2 linked regions of the Macaca fascicularis genome follow. The protein of the gene in region 2 purifies or fractionates together with the protein of the main gene of each other region. This does not show direct contact. Links are inferred from orthologs where the notes say so. Each region holds a gene or a part of one and is shown on either strand. Other genes may lie near its edges.

Region 1 (5,274 bases), on a different chromosome or scaffold from region 2:
CCCGCCCAAGGGCTGAGGAGTGCAGGCACGCGGAGCGGGACTGGAGGGCAGCTCTGCCTGTGCCCCCTGTGCTGGATCCACTAGGGGAAGCCAGCTGGGCTCCTGAGTCTGGTGGGGACTTGGAGAACTTTTATGTCTAGCTTATAAATATACCAATCAGCACTCTGTGTCTAGCTCAAGGTTTGTAAACACAACAATCAGCACTCTGTTAAAACGGACCAATTAGCTCTCTGTAAAATGGACCAATCAGCAGGATGTGGGTGGGGTCAGATAAGTAAATAAAAGAAGGCTGCTCCAACTAGCAGTGGCAACTTGCTCAGGTCCCCTTCTATGCTGTGGAAGCTTTGTTCTTTTGCTCTTGCAATAAATCTTGCTGCTGCTCACTCTTTGGGTGTGCACCGCCTTTATGAGCTGTAACACTCACCACAAAGGTTTGCAGCTTCGCTCCTGAAGCCAGCAAGACCACAAACCCACCAGGAGGGATGAACGACTCCAGACGCACTGCCTTTAAGAGCTGTAACACCGCAAAGGTCTGCAGCTTCACTCCTGAAGCCAGTGAGACCACAAACCCACCCGAAGGGAGAAACTCTGAACATGTCCGAACATCAGAAGGAACAAACTCTGGACACACCATCTTTAAGAACTGTAACACTCACCACGAGGGTCTGTGGCTTCATTCCTGAAGTCAGGGAGACCAAGAATCCACCAGTTCTGGACAAAAAAGGTGTAAACAGCCACAGCCTCGCTTAAAACCCAACCACCCCCTCGCATTTACAACAAAACCCCAGTTTCATACTTTGACACACAGAGCCATGGGACTCCAGCCTGCCCCCTCGCAGCTCTTCCCTCCTACGCTGGGCTCCAACCCCACTGCTGGGTCCTTCTTTCTATACCTAGGAACACATGTGTAGGCCTGTCTGATCCAGCAGATGGCAGGGCCTCAGTTCTCCAGACCCTGCTCCTTAGCCTTCAGGCTTCGCTGCCAACACCACCTCCTAAGGGGGACCCTCCTGCGTCACCCAGTGTGCCTCTCCCCCACGAGGTTCTTTCATCTCTCAAAGCAGCCATGCTGCCCCAGGCTGTAAATTCTCTAGGGGTCTCCACACAGGAGGGGCTCACACACTAGTGAGTGAAATAACCAAATTAGGGCTGGGCACGGTGGCTCACACCTGTTATCCCAGCACTTTGGGAGGTTGAGGCGGGTAGATCACCTGAGGTCAGGACTTCGAGACCAGCCTGACCAACATGGTGAAACCCCATTTCTACTAAAAATAAGCCAGTGGGGCGTGGTGCGGGCGCCAGTAATCCCAGCTACTCGGGAGACTGAGGCAGGAGAATCACTTGAACTCTGAAGGCAGAAGTTGCAGTCAGCTCAGATTGAGCCATTTCACTGCAGCTGGGGCAACCAGAGCGGAAACTGTTTCGAAAATAATAATAAGCAAATTGAGGAATGTGAGCAGCATCTCGGGCACCAGTACTGTTTTATAATTGTAGACCGCCTTTCTAAGTAGGCGTGAAGGTAATTGTTTCAGGCACTCTTAAGCCAAGCCAATCGGCGCCCCTACAGCGGAGGGCGCGGAAACTATCCCCAGCCCAGCCCCAGACCCCACTCCCCCCCGCCCCGGGGCCCCCCTGCCCCGCACCGCTCTGTCCACCCCCCCCCGTCTCCACCCCCACCCCTGTCCCCACCCCACCCCCGTCCCGCCCCACTCCCCACCCCCGCCTCGGCACAACTCACGCCCGGTGCCGCGCCTCCGCGCGACTCATGCCTCTCCCCGCCCCTCGCCAGGCCTCGTGCCCCGCCCTCGCACCACGGCACAATTTATGCCCCGTCCCGCGTCCCGCGCCCCGCGCCTCGTGCCCCACCCCCGCTTCTCCGTGCTACTCCTGCTCCAACCCCGCGCGCGACTCATGGCCCTCCCCACCCCTCGCCACGCCTCGCCTCCGCGCTTCGCCACGCCCCTGTCCTGCCTCTACTTCCGCCTCAGGGGAGCTGGGAGCCCGTCGTTTCCGGGAGCGCCGCGTGGAGTTAGTGTTGGCCGCTTTTGGCATGGCGGCTTTTTCTGGCCCAGCTGGGCCGATCCTGTCGCTTAACCCGCAGGAAGATGCCGAGTTTCAAAAGGAGGTGGCGCAGGTTCGCAAGCGCATAACCCAGGTGAGCAGGCACCCTGGTCCAGGCTGCGAGCGGGGGCGACGGACAGGGTCTAGGGGGTATCCGGGGTTGCGCGGTTCCCCGCCCGGACTCCCCTTGCCTTCGCGCACGCCTTCCAGAGTATCCTTAGCGGATTTGACCGAATCAGGGACCCACCTCTTAAGCTTGCAGGCCACGGTTTCTGAGACTAAAGGGTTTACGCTGGTGGGTAAATGATGGAGAGGTTTGGCCGCTGAGGCCTTGGAGCCTTCATGTGGAGGGTAAGGGGGAAGTATTGGGGTGACGGAAGCCGCGGAGGGAACCACCTGGAGGGAATAGGTTCCCATACCACAGGTTGTCTCCGGGTTAGACCTGTCACGCTTCCGCGTTCCCCCCGAAAACGGGGGCCCCAGACTTAACACATTCGGGAGGTTTGTATGCCGGGTTGGTGATCTGGGAGTTATTAAAATAGAGTAGTTGCCAGGTTCCGCTTGCTGACCAGGGCCCCTGACATCGCTTATACTTTCTGTGGTTTTTAGCATAAACTACACAGGAAAACTTAGAAGTTCTTGTTACAGAGGTAAGGGTATGATGGTTGAGACGCTGAAAGGCTAATCTGTATTGTGAGAGTTAGCAAGCGTCTCGAAAATTTTTCGATGAAATGCGAGTAAACAGTAATATGCATACAAAATTGAAGGCTATATTTATGTAGAGTTCTCTGGGCAGAAGATCCAAAATGGCTTGTTCGAAGATGTCCTTGCTTATCCGTTGATTGACATAGTTATTGAGCACTAACATTATACTGGGTGCTGGGATGCCAGGCTGGAAAGATAGTTGATTACTGCTTGGCCATGGCCTTTGTGGGGAGAGAGACACTCAACAGCCACTTCTTTAATTACTACTGTGGTAAGTGGAAATGCGGAGTAGGTTCTTGGGCCTAGGGCTAGGGGTTTTGTAAGTTTTGTTACAATGTGATTTTCTTATTTTAAAAAATATTTAATTTACCTGGTCTTTATGTCTTCAGCGGAAAAAACAAGAACGACTTACTTCTGGAGTAGTCTATGTGGGCCACCTACCTAACCTACTTAACGAAACCCAGATCTTTTCGTATTTCTCCCAGTTTGGCACTGTGACACGATTCAGACTGTCCAGAAGTAAAAGGGTAAGATTTTTAAAGTTGGATTTGACGTTTTGTTTTTCAAATGTGTGTGATTCTTGACATTAAAGAGCACGTTCACATACTCTTATCAGATTTCATTCCAAAAAGAAGAGTGGAGGTTTAGAATCTGAAACATAGAATCCCGGCACATAAACTTGGGTTGTAGCCATAGGCACCTATTTGATTTAGCATCTAGGGGATAGGGTGTGCATCCATCATCTGTTAGTTGTCCTAAAGATACAGATTATAGGTAGAATTGAGGTCCCTTTTGTACCCTTCCCAGTGTTCTTCACCTTCTCCTTTAATTAGGGAATTAAATTCACAAATTCCGTTTTCTTTTTTTTGAGACAGAAGCTTGCACTGGAGTGCAGTGGTGCGATCTCAGCTCACTGCGACCTCCGCCTCCCAGGTTCAAGCGATTCTCCTTGCCTCACCCTCCCAAGTAGCTGGGATTATAGGCACCTGCCACCACACCTGGCTACATTTTTTTTGTGTTTTTAGTAGAGACGGGGTTTCATTAGTTGGCCAGGCTGTTCTCGAACTCCTGACCTTGTGATCCTCCCACCTCAGCCACCCAGAGTGCTGGGATTACAGGCGTGAGCCATCGCTCCTGGCCACAAATTCAGTTTTCATTGCTATATATGTTTATAAGTTTTTACTGTATCTATATATATATGTGCTACAACACGTGTGTACATATATAAATGTACATATAGTATTATTTTAAAATTATTTCTATCATTCTTCAGCTGAATTTTTTTACTCAATAATCTGAGCTTTATCCGTGTAACTCTAGTGCCTTTGTTATCATCATTGCTTGTTACTTAGGTAACTAAAGTTTATCCACGCTCCTATTGAACATTAGGTTTTGTTTTGGGGTTTTTTTTTTTTTTGAGACAATCTCACTCTTGTCACCAGGCAGCTGTAGTGCAGTGGTACGATCTCAGCTCACTGCAACCTCTGCCTCCACATTCAAGTGATTCTCCTGCCTCATCCTCCTAAGTGGCTGAGATTACAGGTACTGGCCACTGCACCTGGCTAATTTTTATATTTTCAGTAGAAACCGTGTTTCACCATGTTTTGGCCAGGCTGGTCTCAAACTCCTGACCTCAGGTGATCCGCCCACCTCGGCCTCCGAAGGTGCTGGAATTACAAGTGTGAGCGAGCCACTGTGCCTAGCCTGAACATTAGGTTTTTTACTATTTTTAACTCTTTACATGAAGCTGCTAGGAACAATCTTTGTGCAGGTATAGACAGATTTTTCTAGAAGAGCATTTTGCAGACTGGCTCACAATAAGAAGTAAGTTTTTACCATCACAGAGAAGATGAGGGTTTTCAAAAAAAGTTTCATAGCACAAACCAGCACACATACACATACATGTAAGCATAACTGAAATAAAAGCCATATGAGACAATATTTAAACTTGTTTTGTGTGATTTGCTGATTTTCTATTTCATTCTATTCAGGGTTTTTTTGGTTGTTGTTTTGTTTTGTTTGAGACGGAGTCTCGCTCTGTCGCCCGGGCTGGAGTGCAGTAGCACAGTTCCTCAGCTGACTGTGACCTCTGCCTCCCAGGTTCAAGCGATTCTCCTGCCCTCCTCCAGACTAGCTGGGATTATAGGTGCCCGCCACCATGCCTGGCTAACTTTTTTTTTTTTTTTTTGAGACAGAGTCTCGCTCTGTCACCCAGGCTGGAGTGCAGTGGTGTGATCTCGGCTCACTGCAAGCTCTGCCTCTCGGGTTCACGCCATTCTCCTGCCTCAGCCTCCCGAGTAGTTGGGACCACAGGCGCCCACCACCACACCTGGCTAATTTTTTTTTTTTTTGGTACTTTTTTAGTAGAGAGGGGGTTTCACTGTGTTAGCCAGGATGGTCTCGATCTCCTGACCTCATGATCCTCCCGCCTTGGCCTCCCAAAGTGCTGGGGTTACAAGCGTGAGCCACCGTGCTGGCCTTCCCCCCCCCTCCCCGAAACGGAGTCTC
Region 2 (5,235 bases):
AAAATGTATCTTAAATAATAAAACTTGAAAGGCAAAATTACTTCTTGATCCATGGACTGAAGAATGGATCTTGGTTCGCAGACATGAAAACAACATTAATCTCCATATACATCTCAATTAGAGCTCTTGGGTGATTAGGCACATTTTCAATGAGCAATAATACTTTGAGAGAAATCTTTTTTCTGAGCAGTAGTCCTCAACAGTAGGCTTAAAATATTCAGTGAACCATGCTATGAACAAATGTGCTGTCATCCAGGCTTTGTTGTTGCACTTACAGAGCACAGGCAGATTATACTTAGTGTAATTCTTAAAAGACCTAAGATTTTTAGAATGGTAAACACGCACTGGCTTCAATTTAAAGTCACTAGCTGCATTAGCCTCTAACAAAAGAGTGAGCTTGGCCTTTGAAGCCAGACATTGACCTCTCTAGCTATGAAAGTCCTTGATGGCATCTTCTTCCAATAGAAGGCTGTTCTGTCTACACTGAATACCTGCTGTTCAGTGGCCACCTTCATCAGTGATCTTACCTAGATCTTGGGGATAACTTGCTGCAGCTTCTCCATCAGCACTTGCTGCCTCATCTTACACTTTTATGTTTCTGGAGACAGCGTCTTTCCTTAAACCTCATGAAATAATCTCTTCTAGCTTCAAACTTCTATAGCTTCCTCACCTCTCTCAGGCATCACAGAACAGAAGAGAATCAGGGCCTTGCTTTGGATTCGGTTTTGGTTTTAGGGGATGTTGTAGCCGGTTTTATTTTCTATCCAAACTACTAAAATTTTCTCCAAATCGGCAATAAACAGTTCCACTTTCTTATCATTCATGTGTTCGTTAGCGTAAAATGTTTAATTTCCTTCAGTAGCTTTCCTTTGCATTCACAAACTGGCTAACTTTTTTGGTGAAACTTTCAGCCTAGCTTTCAGCCTATCTTGCCTTTTGACATGCCTTCCTCACTAAGCTTAACCATTTCTAGCTTTTGAGTTAAAGTGAGAGATGTGCGACTCTTTCTTTCACTTAAACAGTTAGAGGCCCATTGTAGGGTTATTAATTGACCTAATTTCAATACTGTTGTGTCTCAGGGAATAGAGTCCCAAGGAAAGGGAGAGAGAAGGGAGAACGGCCTGTCAGTGGATTAGTCTGAACACACACAACATTTATCAATTAAGTTTGTCGTCTTATATGGGCACAGTTCATGGCGGCCCCAAACAATTACAATACAAGGAACACTCATCACAGGTCACCCTTGTAGCAGAATACATCTCCCTACGATGGACGCGTACGTCCTCTTTCGGGAACGCCCCACTCCGTCTACGAAGTAGCCGCACTTTCGCCACTTTACTTAATAAACTTGCTTTTGCTTTGCTATGCGGACTCGCCCTGAATTATTTCTTGCGCAAGATCCAAGAACCCTCTGTTGGGGTCTGGATCGGGACCCCTTTCTGGTAACAAAACTACACCAAAAATAAAAGAAAACACGTTACTGTGAGGTACCTGACAAAGTCTCTAGTCGGAGGGAGCACACAGAACCTCACCTTCTGTGGCCTTTCCCTAAGCGGGGAGGAGCAGAGCTGGAAGAGGAGGGGCCAGCGCCCCAAGCCAGCTCTCCCATCAGCACAGCTTTGGTCCGCGAGGCAGCCAATCAGATAGCTGAGTTTGCCATAGGGGTGGGACTTCCTCCGCAGCGCGCACGAGTACGTGTGTGGAGGTCCCGCCCCGGAACTGCGGTTGCTTCTGCAGCTGAGGTACAGCGGCGGTTTCTGAGGCTCCTGACCGGCGACCAACGGAGCTGCCGTGGCGTCTTCACACGGTGAGTACCAAAACGAGCGGGGCTGGAGCGGACCCTGGAGAGGGGCTGAGGCCAGGAACCCGGGTTCCTATTCGCAGGTCTCTCTGGGCCGGTGGGTTCCCGGGTCCAGAGAGGGCGCCCGCAGGCCCAAGCCGTCCAACCGAGCTGCGTGCCATGGTCCCCGCGCCTTGGGCTCCTTGTCTGGGCATCAGGGCCTGACGGCCTCGGCTTCTCGGTTTCGTGCGCGCGTTCGTGCCTGAGACAAAGCGAGAGCGCCGCGCGAGACCGGCGTCACGAGGAAACAGAGGCCCTTCTACTCTGCCTGACGCTCCCCGTGTCCTCGCCCGGTTCCTCGCGTGGCACCCCCCGCCCTCTCCTCGCTGAACCCCGCGTGTTTTTTTTGCCATGGCGCAGCGGGTCCGGCGGGCACCGTGTGCGAACGTGCTCTTCTCGCCGGGCGCCATGCTCAGCGGTTTTTGACGTGCGTCACTTTTTCGTAGTGGCGTATAACGATTCTGTGGGACAAATGTCCTCGTTATTCCCATTATGCAGACGGGGAAATAGAGACTCAGAGATGGATACGTCCACCGCAGAGCCACAGCTGACGAGTGGTGGATCCGGATTTGAACCAAGATTTACCTTGGTCTTTTTCACGGAACGTGTTGTCTTCCTTCGGCTTTCTGAAAAGGAAAAACCTGGATCGAGTTCCACCCAAACGAGTTGGGCCTAAATGGCCTTTAAGCCACTTAAAATATGATGAAAAAGCTGGATGGGTTTTAAGACGCTTGGCAAAGGAAGGGATGGTAGAGCAGGCATTTGCTCTCTCAGGCAAGGCTTGAGAAGGAAGCAAGCGCAATACGCTTTTAATAAAGCTCACCCCTCCTGCCCCCACAAGAAAAACCCCTCAGATTCTTACTCTGCCTTCAGAACGGCTTATGTGTGGCAGGCTTCATCCTCCGTGCTTTACATAATTTCCTTTATTTACACAAAATATACAACTTAGATATTGTTAGGTACTCTTCCCCCTTTTTATAGATGAGAGCACTGAAGTTCAGAGAGGAGTGGGTGGCACTATCCAAGGTCACACACGCAGTAAGTGTTGAATTTGGAATTCAAACCAGGTCTAGCTCATACGTCTTTGTTCCATCACATGTGTACCCTGTGTTTCGGGCAAAGCTGTCTGTTCTGTGGTATTTCCTTCTTTGTTCTTCTCTAGGTAGGAGCAACTGTGTGATAGCCGTCTTTGTATCCTCAGTTCTTTGTAGGGCCTAGTTGCTTAGAAAATATTTGTTGCATCAGAACCCTCTGCTTCTCAGACACCAACCTAATAGAACATGTATCTCCTTTTCAGCAACCATGAAGTTGAAGGACACAAAATCAAGGCCAAAGGCATCAAACTATGGCAAATTTCAGACAAAGGGAATCAAAGTTGTGGGAAAATGGAAGGAAGTGAAGATTGACCCAAATATGTTTGCAGATGGACAGATGGATGATTTGGTATGCTTTGAGGAATTGACAGATTACCAGTTGGTCTCTCCTGCCAAGAATCCCTCGAGTCTCTTCTCAAAGGAGGCACCCAAGAGAAAGGCACAAGCTGTTTCAGAAGAAGAGGAGGAGGGAGAGTCTAGCTCACCAAAGAAAAAGATGAAGTTGAAGAAAAGTAAAAATGTAGCAACTGAAGGAACTAGTACCCAGAAAGAGGTTGAAGTCAAAGATTCTGAGCTGGAGGCCCAGGGAGATGGCATGGTTTGTGATGATCCGGAGGCTGGAGAGAAGACATCAGAAAACCTGGTCCAAACTGCTCCAAAAAAGAAGAAAAATAAAGGGAAAAAAGGTTTGGAGCCTTCTCAGAGCACTGCTGTTAAGGTGCCCAAAAAAGTGAAGACATGGATTCCTGAAGTTCATGATCAGAAGGCAGATGTGTCAGCTTGGAAGGACCTGTTTGTTCCCAGGCCGGTTCTCCGAGCACTCAGCTTTCTAGGCTTCTCTGCACCCACACCGATCCAAGCCCTGACCTTGGCACCTGCCATCCGTGACAGACTGGACATCCTTGGGGCTGCTGAGACAGGTAAGGGCAACTCCGGCCAAGGCAGGATTGCTTCTGGATTGAGCCCATAGCTACTAATAAGCCAGATAATTGGGAGAGAGAAGAATGTTGAGAACATAACCACAAAAGCAACGCTGAATAAAGGTGTTTAGAAGTCAGCCCCCTCTGGTTTGAAATATGCTTTTCCTGAATGGTACCCTAGCCATCACTTTTATCTCTCTCAGCTCTGTAGACCCCATTATCAACCAAATGGAGATAACAGTTTCTACCTCTTGCATTGCTGTGAGAGTTAAATGCTACAGTAAGCTAAAGCTTACACTGTACATTGGAAGTGGTCTGCAAATGGTAGTTTCTCCTGTTCTTGAGCCTTTTCTGAATGACTCATAGGGGTAAGGTAAGGCTAAGATCAGCCCTCTGGAGAGGTCGATCTTCATAAGTATAAGGAAGAACTGTCTAATTCTCAGGAGTTGTGCAAAGGTGAAAAGGGTTGCTGCTTTGGGAGTTGATGAATTTCTTGTCATTGGAAGGATTTGAGTATGATGGATAGTCATTGGGTGGATTTTGTAAACAGATTCAGCTATGACGTGACTGTTAGGACTAGGCTGTGTGAGGTTCCTGCAAGACTTTTGGAAGCAACGACAGGTTGGCTTTGCTGGATAACTAGACTACTGACTTGGGGGAGGAACTAGTACTGCCTGGAACTATTGGTCTGTTTAGACCAGCAGTGTCCGTTAGAAATACATATAGTCATCTCTTGATATCCATGGAGGATTGGTTCCAGGACCTCCCTTGGATACCAAAATCCAGGGATGCTCAAGTCTGATATAAAATGGTGTAGTGCTTGCATATAAGCTATGCACATCCTCCTGTATATTTTAAATCATCTCTAAATTACTTATAATACCTCATACAATGTAGATCTTATGTAAATTGTTACACCGTATTGTTTAGGGAATAATGACAAGAAAAGTCTGTACGGTGTTTAGTACAGATACAGTTTTTTTTTTACCCCCTGAATATTGTCGATCCCCAAGATGCAGAACCCACGGTTACAGAACGGTGATTGTATAGTGTAAAATACATGTGTAATTGAAAATTTACTAGGAGCCACATTTTTTAAAAGTTAAAAAAAACTAGTGAGATATTTTACATTTTCTTACTAAATTTTTAAGTAATAAATTACTTAAATTTTTAAACAATTTTAAAATTTTAATTAATTTTTAGTAATAAATTACTAAACTTGCAGCACATGTCAGGTTAGAGTAACTACATTTTAAGTGTTCAATAGACACGTTGTGCTTTGGGTTTCTGGAACAGTGGTCAGGAAACTCTTGATGAGGTTCTGTGACAGTCATATAGGTGGAAGAGTGAGGAACCCAAAGGAAAGGGGAATGGAGATTAC

Evidence for each region. Proteins that work in one complex are often made in the same cells at the same time.
Region 1: the proteins of DDX24 (region 2) and NIFK purify together in Homo sapiens (affinity purification with mass spectrometry; 3 studies listed by BioGRID and IntAct, counting the BioPlex papers as one, with this or other methods). This does not show direct contact. The link is inferred for Macaca fascicularis from reciprocal best matches to the Homo sapiens genes DDX24 and NIFK.

Annotation. Positions count from the first base shown.
Region 1 is NC_088386.1:10,002,245-10,007,518, forward strand, and holds the start of NIFK (MKI67 FHA domain-interacting nucleolar phosphoprotein), read left to right. Parts: upstream 1-2,032; 5' UTR 2,033-2,050; coding exon 2,051-2,155; intron 2,156-3,155; coding exon 3,156-3,293; intron 3,294-5,274.
Region 2 is NC_088381.1:162,093,608-162,098,842, reverse strand, and holds the start of DDX24 (ATP-dependent RNA helicase DDX24), read left to right. Parts: upstream 1-1,715; 5' UTR 1,716-1,807; intron 1,808-3,137; 5' UTR 3,138-3,142; coding exon 3,143-3,854; intron 3,855-5,235. UniProt on the Homo sapiens protein: ATP-dependent RNA helicase that plays a role in various aspects of RNA metabolism including pre-mRNA splicing and is thereby involved in different biological processes such as cell cycle regulation or innate immunity.